3 linked regions of the Nothobranchius furzeri genome follow. The protein of the gene in region 2 interacts with the protein of the main gene of each other region in a biochemical or structural test. Links are inferred from orthologs where the notes say so. Each region holds a gene or a part of one and is shown on either strand. Other genes may lie near its edges.

Region 1 (3,147 bases), on a different chromosome or scaffold from region 2:
TCTGTTAATATTGATTGTGAATCGATTTAAATCGATTTCGAATCGAATCGGCACCCTGAGAATCGGAATCGAATCAAATTGTGAGTTGCTCTGAGATTCACATCCCTAGAAAGTACACACTGCTGTAATGCAAAAATTGTTTTTTTCTAAATCACTTTAAAGTAAGAGTGAGCAGTTTTCTGCTCCTCCATCCTACTGGTTGAAAGTACGATAACAACTGTTGTAAACAACCCAACTGTAGCTAGCACTAATAACAAGCTAACACAAATTTGACCTAACTAATGCTAAAATAAACCATGAAATAAAAAGATCCACACTGTAGGACAAAAAATATTTATAAATACTTATAAATCCAGTAGCAACAAAGCCAGGTCACAATCAGTCCGTGATTTTGTAGCATCCTTTAGCTCCCTCAAACTAGTGTAGGCCATGCTTATGTTAACTCTGGTTGTAGCTCTTTGCTTCATATCAAGAGACATTACTCTTACTTTTACTTCCAGGCTCTGCCATGATGCCAACAGAAAAAGCAAACTTCTTCTTTTTCTGCTTTATATTGATGATTGGCAAACTGAAAATGCTAACCACTAACATTACAGCTAACAGCCATAAAGAAGGTAAAGAGCGCCTCCTAGGACACCTACCTGCTCCACTAAACTATTAAGTGCGGTTTTTGGTCAGCGGAGGGCCGCAGAGTGTTGTCAAAAGCCAGTTTCACATTTGGCCCAGGCTGGGTGGCTCCAGATCAGGGTCCTGCACCGGTAGGTTTTGTTCACACATTCTTTTTAGGAATGTGGAAATCTCAGAGCACATGGGCAGGGAAAAGATGCACTGAGAAATCTGTGATGCCTCCCTTAAGTTAAGTAAACAAAGCGTTGCTTTTGCATTCTCTGACTCTGATATTGCATCCTGACTGCTGTCTGTCCTCGCGCAGGGCAGCATGCAAGCCTCCACAGCGCTCCCTGTGTGTGTGCTCTTCACAGCACGTCTCAGTGACAGAGACAGAGAGCTCCTGCAGCTTCAGTCAGAGGCAGTGTTTACTCCTCAGTTTCCAGAATGATAATGAATCCCACATGCGGAAGCCCCTGCTGGCTGATTTGTCTTTGTCAGTCAGAGGCTTCCCTTAATGGTAGGCATGAATTTGAGCCAGTCAGTCGGTCTGCAGAGGTTGTGTTGGGTCAGTTCAGCCCAAAGCAGCCCGCCTGGGGAAGAGGGCTGAAAATATGGTCGGTGGAGCACGAAAAAAAATACAGGCTACCCAGATGTGAACACAATATACCATACCTGGGCCGGACCGACCCTGATGTGAAAACGGCAAAGCTGGTTAAGTTTACTAAGATAAATGTTAAAGCTTTAGCTTAAAGTAAAATCTTTTTTTTTTTAGTAATTTTCATTTTGATACACCAGAGAAGTCATTGAGATAGGTCTTGTGCATTGAGGAGAGTTTACGATGGTATGTTCTCACCTCTGCAGGTGCGTCATCTGTATGATGGACTTTGTTTATGGAGACCCCATCCGGTTCCTGCCCTGCATGCACATCTACCACCTGGACTGTATAGACGACTGGCTGATGAGATCCTTCACCTGCCCCTCCTGCATGGAGCCTGTGGACGCTGCGCTGCTCTCCTCCTACGAGACCAACTGACACAAGCACCCCCTGGACCACACAGGACCTGAACAAATCCATGGACACTCTAAATACACTAAACATCAACTTCCCCAACTTATATCCTGGATTAGTAAGATGGTGATTTCAAAGCATTGATCGTAAAATAACGTAGGATGAATAATGTTTGTGCATAAAAATTTATAATTATAAATATATGTACGGTGTGTGTGTGTGTACACCATTTCCTCAGTTGGCCTGCTGGACAGGACTGCATCTGAGAAAGGACAGGAGGAATAAAGAACAAGAGCAGGGAGGAGAGAGGAGTCAAAGATGAGTGCAGAAAGCCCGGGTGTGTGCATGAAGCGAGCGACAGAGAAGCAGCTGGAACCTGTGAATATTAACTATCATGACTGAGAAATATTTTTATGTTCTGTTTTCAAATTTGGCACACACACACACACACACACAAACAGAAGCATACTCCCTTCCTTTTACTTTCATTACAAGAATGCAGATTGTTTTTCTCTGTCTGTTGGTAAGTGAAAACTTTCATAACCGAAGGAAAAGTTGATTGGTAGTTGTATTTCCTAAGAAACTGTTACAGGGTTGTTGTAGACGAGACTAGTAGAGACGAACACACAACATAGTAGCACAGACTACCAGGCTCCCTCCGTCTTCTGCACACCTACCTTGACTTGTCTCTGCAGATCTTTCCTGTGAAACGTTAGCTGAATGGTCGCTGTGTCGATTGGCTGTTCTGTGGCTTTGTGAAATCTGTTCTTTAGTTATTTTGCAAATCAACATAAGGACTTCGTGTTGAATCGGTTTACCAAAAACACAGACTCAGCAAAAGGAAGTATGTGCTTCACTCATTCATGTGATGATGCTAAAATTATCACTGATGAGATCTCAGACTACAGGCCAAAGCAAAAAGTCAACAGATGAGCGACACTTTGATCAGAATTTGAAATTTGCAGTACTTAAAGGGATTTTTCAGCTGTTTTTAAGTAGGTTCCTGTGTAAAAGTTTTAAAGAATTACTGACAGAACTAGTTAGTACAGTCAAGAACAAAGTGCACTCTCAGAAATCTAATGTTGAATTTACTTAACCAAGTTATGTCAACTGGTTCCACTAAACCTATTACTTAAAGACCAAGTTCATTGAGAAACTGTTGTTTACTTGTTAGTTTTGAAATATGATTAGTCACTCTTGAGTTTCACATGCAGGCTTATTGTGAAAATAGTCTTCTACCCTTGTTTCCTGCATTAGCCACCAATAAAAAAGATGAAAATACTAGGATTAGACAAGCTCAGATCAACTTCACACTGTCACTTAACATCCGTCATGACTCGCGACGGCTGTAGACGTTTAGTGTCCAGGGAATGGTAGAGAATATCTCGGCTAGTAGAAGCTAACTATTAGCATTAGCAACTTTACCGCATGGGAAAACTCCTCCAGGCTTGTGTTATTTGTGGAGATGAAACATCCGTGTTACAACGTAAACTGAGTGAGTCGAGGAGATTAGATGTCAGAATATCAGA
Region 2 (4,062 bases):
ATTAATTACAGACACGGATCACTTTTCTTTTGACCGATTAAGTTGTTCACATTATTTATTTGTTTAAAAAGTAGAAACGCATCTAATGGAACACAAAACGTTCCCAGTCACGATGCTCGACACGTTACCACGATTACCAAACGGTCTGGTATTTCTCCGAGGCTCATATGTCGTTTCACTTACAGCTTTGTGTTGAAATGGTTTGAATTTTTTCTGAAATTACATTTTACACCAAAAACGAACAGAGTTCTCAGCTCTGAGGAGCCTCCTGCATCGGTACGGTGAGAATAGCTGGATTTTTATCTGAAGTGTCTTTAATGTAATCATCAAAAATCATCTGCTGGAAATGATTAAACACCAGTTAGCTGAGTGAGTGAACGTATGAAACGCACACTGCTGCAGAGGAGTATTCAGCCCACTTGTGATAACGGTTCAGCCTCTGGGGTGTGTGCGAGCGTCAGAGCAGGCTTTGGCTGCTGATGCACTGACAGATGGGAAACCAGCGATGTGAAGTGGGAGTCATCGCCCAGCAGCTTGCGGGCGAACGATTAGCGCAGCAAGTGGTTAAAGCGCTCCAGATTTTCAGTTTTATTTCTGATCAGAGATGCAGGTGGAACCTCCAGTCAGAACCGTCCCATTTGAACCGGGTTCTGCGGTATGTTTGTCCTTGCAGCTGATGAAGGCCATGAACAAGTCCAACGAGCATGTGCTGGCCATGGGGGCATGTTTCAACGACAAGGCCGACTCCCATTTAGTTTGTGTTCAGAACGACGATGGGAACTACCAGACGCAGGCCATCAGCATCCATCACCAGCCACGTAAAGGTGGCTTCTCTCCTCAGTACTCTTGTCTGTTTGACTGAAAACAAAAAACCCCGCTGTGAATCTTGGCTTCACTTGTTTATTTTAATCTGTTCTCCTCCAGTTACTGGAGCCTGCTTCTTTGTGTTCAGTGGAGCTCTAAAAGCCTCGTCGGGATTCTTAGCCAAGACCAGCATCGTAGAAGGTGAGACCTGTAGAAACACCATAAATACTTCCCCTGTGAGAAGTGCTGCAAAACTTTAACGGGTCTCCTTTTTAGATGGTGTGATGATCCAGATCACAGCGGAGACGATGGACTCTCTACGGCAAGCCCTGAGGGACATGAAGGACTTCACCATCACTTGTGGTAAAGCTGACCAGGAGGAGAGCCAGGAGCAGGTCCAAGTGGTCTGGACAGAAGACGACCACAACTTCAACAAGGGGTGAGACTGAGAGACGAGGGAGGAGACCCTTTTGTGTCCCCGCTGGTGTTTTAATGTAACGTCTTCATGGGAACCAGAACCTCTGCAGAACGATGGGACCGAGGTCCAGATCAGCTAAAGTAAATGTAGCTTCTGTTCTCGGAAGAGTTCCACTTCCTGTTGAGTCTTGAAGCAGCCTGTGTGCCATCGCTCTGTCAGAGCTGCTGATGGCGCTGGTATTTGTGTCGCCCAGAGTTTTGACAGGAAACTCCTCTTCATCTTTTCTTCTGCCGTTAGTTTGTGTGTAACATAAATCTGTCTTCATCTCAGCGTCATCAGCCCCATTGATGGGAAATCGATGGAGTCCATCAGTAGCGTAAAGATCTTCCACGGCTCAGAGTTCAAAGCAAACGGCAAAGTCATCCGCTGGACTGAGGTAACACACACACACACACGCACGCACGCGCGCGCGCGCACACACACACGCACGCACACACACAGCTCTGTAAACTAAGGTTTATGAAGGAAATCAGGCCACTGCTCTCACAGAAGAAGAAAGTATCATTTCTATAGCGCCTCTCAAGATAAAAATCATGAGGCGCTTCACAAAAAACAAAAAATGTAAAAATATTTTAAAAAATTAGAAAATGGTTAAAAATATATTTAAAATGAGCAAAAAATAGACAATTGTGGTTAAAAAAATGTTAAGAAAGAGAGAGAGTGAATAGGAAAGAGGGAAATCAGTGGATCCTGAGGAAGGTGGAATAGGTGGGGAGAGCAGAATAGAGAGAGAGTGGTGAAGAAGGTCATACAAAAGCCAACTTGAACTAGTGAGTCTTCAGCTGCTTTTTGAAGGAGTTCACTGAGTCCACTGATCTCAGGCTCAGGGGGAGAGAGGTCCAGAGTCTGGGGACCACAGCAGCAAATGATCTGTCACCTTTGGTCTTTAGCCTGGTGCTGCACAACCAGTAGGCTTTGGTCACTGGACCTCAGGGACCTGCTGGGGGTGTAGGGACTAAGAAGATCACCAATTTAAGATGGTGCTTGTCCATGTAAGGCCCTATAGACCAGAACCAGGATCTTGAAATGAACTCTGAAGTTGACTGGCAGCCAGTGAAGCTGGAGGAGAAGCGGGGTGATGTGGGTGTGTTTGGAGGACTTGGTCAGAAGCCGAGCACAGGCATTCTGAACCACCTGTAGACGGTTCAGGGAGGTTCTGTTCAGACAAGAGAAAAGAGAGTTACAGTAGTCTAAGCGTGAGGAGATGAAGGTGTGGAGAACTGTCTCAAGTTCAGAGCGGGACAGAATGGGACTCAGCTTAGCAATATTCCTAAGATGGAAGAAGGAAGAGCGAACAAGAGAACTGACATGAGAATCCAGGGTGAGAGCTGGGTCAAAGGTCACACCAAGATTCCTGACGGAAGGTTTGGTGTGAGAAGCAAGCTGACCAAGAGAGTCTCTGACTTTGGGAACCAGCTTGTCTGGGGCACAGATGAGGATCTGAGTCTTATCTTCATTCAGCTGAAGAAAGCTCCCAGCCATCCAGGTTTTGATAGAGTCTAAGCAGGTGTGTAACAGCTGCAGCTTAGACATCTCATGGGGCTTAAAGGAGATGTACAGGACCAAACCACCCTCCATCCCAGGAGGCTGTGGGTATACTAGAGGCTAAACTCTGACGTTGCTCATCTGCAGAAATGTGCTGCCTCCTGTAAAGATTAAAAAGCAAATCAATCTTTTCACAGGTTGTCCGTTACTCAAATGCGTCAAATGTCATGATTGCCTTCAGGTATTTTTCCTCCAAAGTGAAGACCAGCCCAACAGCCTGAGCGACCCGGCCGACCACAGCCGGCTGGCGGAGAACGTGGCCCGAGCGTTCTGCATGGCGCTGTGTCCACACCTGAAGCTGCTGAAGGAGGACGGCATGGCCAAACTGGGCCTCAGGGTAACGCTGGATTCTGACCAGGTAGGACAGATCCAGAGACAAGTTACTATGGAGTCCCTGTCGGATGACTTCTCTCTGTTCACCTGTTCAGGTGGGTTACCTGGCAGGAAGTAACGGCCAGCCTCTCCTGCCTCAGTACCTGAGCGACCTGGACAGCGCTCTGATCCCAGTCATCCACAGCGGAGCCTGTCAGCTGAGCGAAGGCCCGGTAGTCATGGAGCTGGTCTTCTACATCCTGGAAATCATCTCCTAGAGAACCCCCCCCCCCCATCCCCCCCATGTCATCTCCCCTCAACCTTCCTCACCTCAGCAGAACCACACAACTGTGGCGTTTCTTCAGTCAAAGCTATGCATCCACCCACCATCTGCTTTGACCCAGAGGCGTTTTGGTGTCTGAGGAAGTGTGAGTGGGTGGGCGGAGCCTCACAGCCACTGCCTAAATAACACCACATGTGGCTATTTGGACAGACCTGCATGCTCCTCAGCTTCCTCCCAAAGTCACAGTCAGCTGGAGGCGCTGAAGCAAAGAACTGTGGGTAAAACTTGCCTCTGTAGCACGAGCACCGTTGCAGATCCATCGCTGGAAACTTTGAGGGGGAGAAACCTACAGATCGCTGGAGGTGGAAGAAGGTGCCTGTGTGGTGATTTTTGTTGTTTTTTTGCACCGTGGTGCTCAGTGCCTACAGCAAAGAATCATCAGGGGGGTCACTTGTCAAGCTTTACTCTTCAGTCACCAAACGCTTTCCGTCATGGCTGCAGACTTGTGTATATTTTTATAAGCAGAGCAGTTCCTACATGTTACACGTGTAGCTTCCAGATCTGTTACAGAAAAGTGACGTCAGAGTCCGATGTCCTGTTGAACTAGATTACTGACACAAAACCCGTTTATTCTGCAGAT
Region 3 (3,518 bases), on a different chromosome or scaffold from region 2:
CCAGCCAGTAACATACTGTGAGCCAGCGTTCTGGTGCTCCATTTCCTACTACGAGCTGAACCAGCGAGTAGGGGAGACCTTCCACGCCTCACAGCCCTCGTTGACGGTGGATGGCTTCACAGACCCCTCAAACTCTGAGCGTTTCTGCCTCGGATTGTTGTCCAACGTCAACCGCAATGCAGCAGTGGAGTTAACACGCAGACACATCGGTGGGCATCAGCTCTGATTATAACAGATAAAACTGTCTGGTTAACGTCTCTGTGACATCCGTGCTTCTGCGTTTCTCTCTCTCAGGGCGTGGTGTGCGGCTGTACTACATCGGAGGAGAAGTGTTTGCAGAGTGTCTCAGTGATAGCGCTATCTTCGTCCAGAGCCCCAACTGTAATCAGCGTTATGGTTGGCACCCCGCCACTGTCTGCAAGATCCCCCCAGGTGTGTGTCCAGCTGATGGAGTCAGCAGAATCCTTTATAGACTGTGATGAGTTGGGAAAAGATACAGATGAGAGCGTAGAGTGATGGATGGAAACTGGGTTGGTAGCTTGATCCCCAGCTGTGTTGGAAACTATGTAGTGTGTATTCAGTTGTCCATGCATTTATTACTTCCTATTGTAATTCAGTGCTCTTTGGTATCTCCTCCTCCACCCTCGCTTGACTTCAGCTTGTGCAGAACGTAGCAGCTCGTTTCTTGACTGGCACCAGGCAGCGAGAACACATCACACCAGTTTTAGCAAATCTCCATTGGCTCCCCATCCATCTCCGTATAGAGTTTAAGATCCTGGTTTTTGTATTTAAATCCCTCAATAACTTAGCACCTAGCTACTTGTCTGAGCTCATTCACCCGTATGTCCCTACAAGATCCCTCCGATCAGCCGACCAGCACCTCCTACATGTCCCTAGCTCTCGCTGTAAATCCCGCGAGGAGCTCGCCTTTTCGGTTTGTGCACCGAAGCTCTGGAACCACTTGCCCCTCCTGATCAGACTCTCTTTCCCTTTTTAAGTCTCGTTTAAAAACTCACTTTTATTCGTTGGCTTTTAATTCAGTCTAACTTATTCTCTTTCTCCTTTTCTTTTCGAGTTGGATTACTCGATTTTAATGGTTTTAGTTTTTATTTTTGATTGTTTTTATTGTGTGTTTTTGTTCAGCACTTTGGTCGGCTCTCATGCGGTGTTTAAATGTGCTATACAAATAAACTTGGTATGGTATGTAGTGTGTATGGTCAGGAACCTTTTGTGAGAATTAGGTGTTATTAGATGTCTAGATGAATTAAAACTGAGTTATTCTCAGCTGCTGTGCTGCTTATATATCATCTTATCTGTGACATCACCTCTGTCATCATCAACTCAAGGATATCTCCTCTGACTCATCTCTCCTCTCATTAAAAACACAGACATGAGCTCTTTATTTACCAAAGGAGATGTTTGCTCAGGTCCATGTTGGAGTTTGTAGGTTCTTACGCGAATGTTTCATCTCCTAAGTTACTTTCAAATAAGCAGTCTTCTACAGACCGGTTCACACGGCAGGGTACTTCTTGACCCAATTCTCCCCTTCTGAAGATCCCACGGCAGATTACTGTGATGGCTCTGAAGATAATCTTATCGGATATCCTTGGCACTTGTTTAATTTTGGTGGTGGTGGTGGTGGGGGGGGGGGGGGATGGGGGGGGGGAGAAGAAAATATAATTTCTATAGCGCCTCTCAAGATAAAAATCACAAGGTGCTTCACAAAAACAAAAAATGTAAAAAATATGGAAAATGATTAAAAATATATTTTAAATGAGCAAAAATAGACAATTGTGATTAAAAAAAGGTTAAGAAAGAGAGAGAGTAACTAAGAGCATAAAGAGAGAGTGGTGAAGAAGGTCATACAAAAGCCAGCTTGAACAAGTGAGTCTTCAGCTGCTTTTTGAAGGAGACCACTGAATCCCCTGATCTCAGGCTCAGGGGGAGAGAGTTCCAGAGTCTGGGGGCCACAGCAGCAAATGATCTGTCACCTTTGGTCTTTAGCCTGGTGCTGCACAACCAGTAGGCTTTGACCACTGGACCTCAGGGACCTGCTGGGGGTGTAGGGACAAAGAAGATCACCAATGTATGATGGTGCTTGTCCATGTAAGGCCCTATAGACCAGAACCAGGATCTTGAAATGAACCCTGAAGTTGACTGGCAGCCAGTGAAGCTGGAGGAGAAGCGGGGTGATGTGGGTGTATTTGGAGAACTTGGTCAGAAGCCGAGCACAGGCATTCTGAACCACCTGTAGATGGTTCAGGGAAGTTCTGCTCAGACACGTGAAAAGAGAGTTACAGTAGTCTAAGAGTGAGGAGATGAAGGTGTGGATAACTGTCTCAAGTTCAGAGCGGGACAGAATGGGACTCAGCTTAGCAATGTTCCTGAGATGGAAGAAGGAAGAGCGAACAAGAGAACTGACATGAGAGTCCAGGGTGAGAGCTGGGTCAAAGGTCACTCCAAGATTCCTGGCAGAGGGTTTGGTGTGAGAAGCAAGCTGACCAAGAGAGTCTCTGACTTTGGGAACCAGCTTGTCTTGGGCACAGATGAGGATCTCAGTCTTATCTTCATTCAGCTGTGGAAAGCTCCCAGCCATCCAGGTTTTGATAGAGTCTAAGCAGGTGTGTAACAGCTGCAGCTTAGACATCTCATGGGGCTTAAAGGAGATGTACATCTTCGTCTTCGTCTTCCTCCGCTTATCCGGGTCCGGGTCGCGGGGGCAGCATCCCAATTAGGGAGCTCCAGGCCGTCCTCTCCCCGGCCTTGTCCACCAGCTCCTCCGGCAGGACCCCAAGGCGTTCCCGGACCAGATTGGAGATGTAACCTCTCCAACGTGTCCTGGGTCGACCCGGGGGCCTTCTGCCGGCAGGACATGCCCGAAACACCTCCCCGGGGAGGCGTCCAGGAGGCATCCTGACCAGATGCCCAAACCACCTCAACTGGCTCCTTTCGATCCGGATGAGCAGCGGTTCTACTCCGAATCCCTCCCGAATGTCCGAGCTCCGCACCCTATCTCTAAGGCTGAGCCCGGCCACCCTACGGAGGAAACTCATTTCGGCCGCTTGTATCGGCGATCTCGTTCTTTCGGTCATTACCCAAAGCTCATGACCATAGGTGAGGATTGGGACGTAGATCGACCGGTAAATCGAGAGCCTGGCTTTCTGGCTCAGCTCCCTCTTCCCCACGACAGATCGGCTCAGCGTCCGCATCACTGCAGACGCCGAACCAATCCGCCTGTCGATCTCCCGATCCCTCCTACCCTCACTCGTGAACAAGACCCCGAGATACTTAAACTCCTCCACTTGAGGTAGGACCTCTCCCCCGACCCGGAGGTGGCAAGCCACCCTTTTCCGGTCGAGAACCATGGTCTCAGATTTGGAGGTGCTGATCCTCATCCCAGCCGCTTCACATTCGGCCGCGAACCTACCCAGCAAGAGCTGAAGGTCAGAGCTGGATGAAGCTAGGAGGACCACATCATCCGCAAAAAGCAGAGACGAGATTCTCCTGCCACCAAACTC

Evidence for each region. The genes of interacting proteins can lie anywhere in the genome.
Region 1: the proteins of zfyve9a (region 2) and rnf11b form a complex in vitro, tested with the Homo sapiens proteins (2 studies listed by BioGRID). The link is inferred for Nothobranchius furzeri from reciprocal best matches to the Homo sapiens genes ZFYVE9 and RNF11.
Region 3: the proteins of zfyve9a (region 2) and smad3a form a complex in vitro, tested with the Homo sapiens proteins (2 studies listed by BioGRID and IntAct, with this or other methods). The link is inferred for Nothobranchius furzeri from reciprocal best matches to the Homo sapiens genes ZFYVE9 and SMAD3.

Annotation. Positions count from the first base shown.
Region 1 is NC_091748.1:56,811,060-56,814,206, reverse strand, and holds part of rnf11b (RING finger protein 11b), read left to right. Parts: intron 1-1,470; coding exon 1,471-1,642; 3' UTR 1,643-3,147. UniProt on the Homo sapiens protein: Essential component of a ubiquitin-editing protein complex, comprising also TNFAIP3, ITCH and TAX1BP1, that ensures the transient nature of inflammatory signaling pathways. Promotes the association of TNFAIP3 to RIPK1 after TNF stimulation.
Region 2 is NC_091751.1:42,024,089-42,028,150, forward strand, and holds the end of zfyve9a (zinc finger FYVE domain-containing protein 9), read left to right. Parts: intron 1-673; coding exon 674-824; intron 825-924; coding exon 925-1,005; intron 1,006-1,080; coding exon 1,081-1,243; intron 1,244-1,552; coding exon 1,553-1,658; intron 1,659-3,008; coding exon 3,009-3,185; intron 3,186-3,255; coding exon 3,256-3,417; 3' UTR 3,418-3,553; downstream 3,554-4,062. UniProt on the Homo sapiens protein: Early endosomal protein that functions to recruit SMAD2/SMAD3 to intracellular membranes and to the TGF-beta receptor.
Region 3 is NC_091749.1:43,537,964-43,541,481, forward strand, and holds part of smad3a (mothers against decapentaplegic homolog 3a), read left to right. Parts: coding exon 1-209; intron 210-294; coding exon 295-432; intron 433-3,518. UniProt on the Homo sapiens protein: Receptor-regulated SMAD (R-SMAD) that is an intracellular signal transducer and transcriptional modulator activated by TGF-beta (transforming growth factor) and activin type 1 receptor kinases.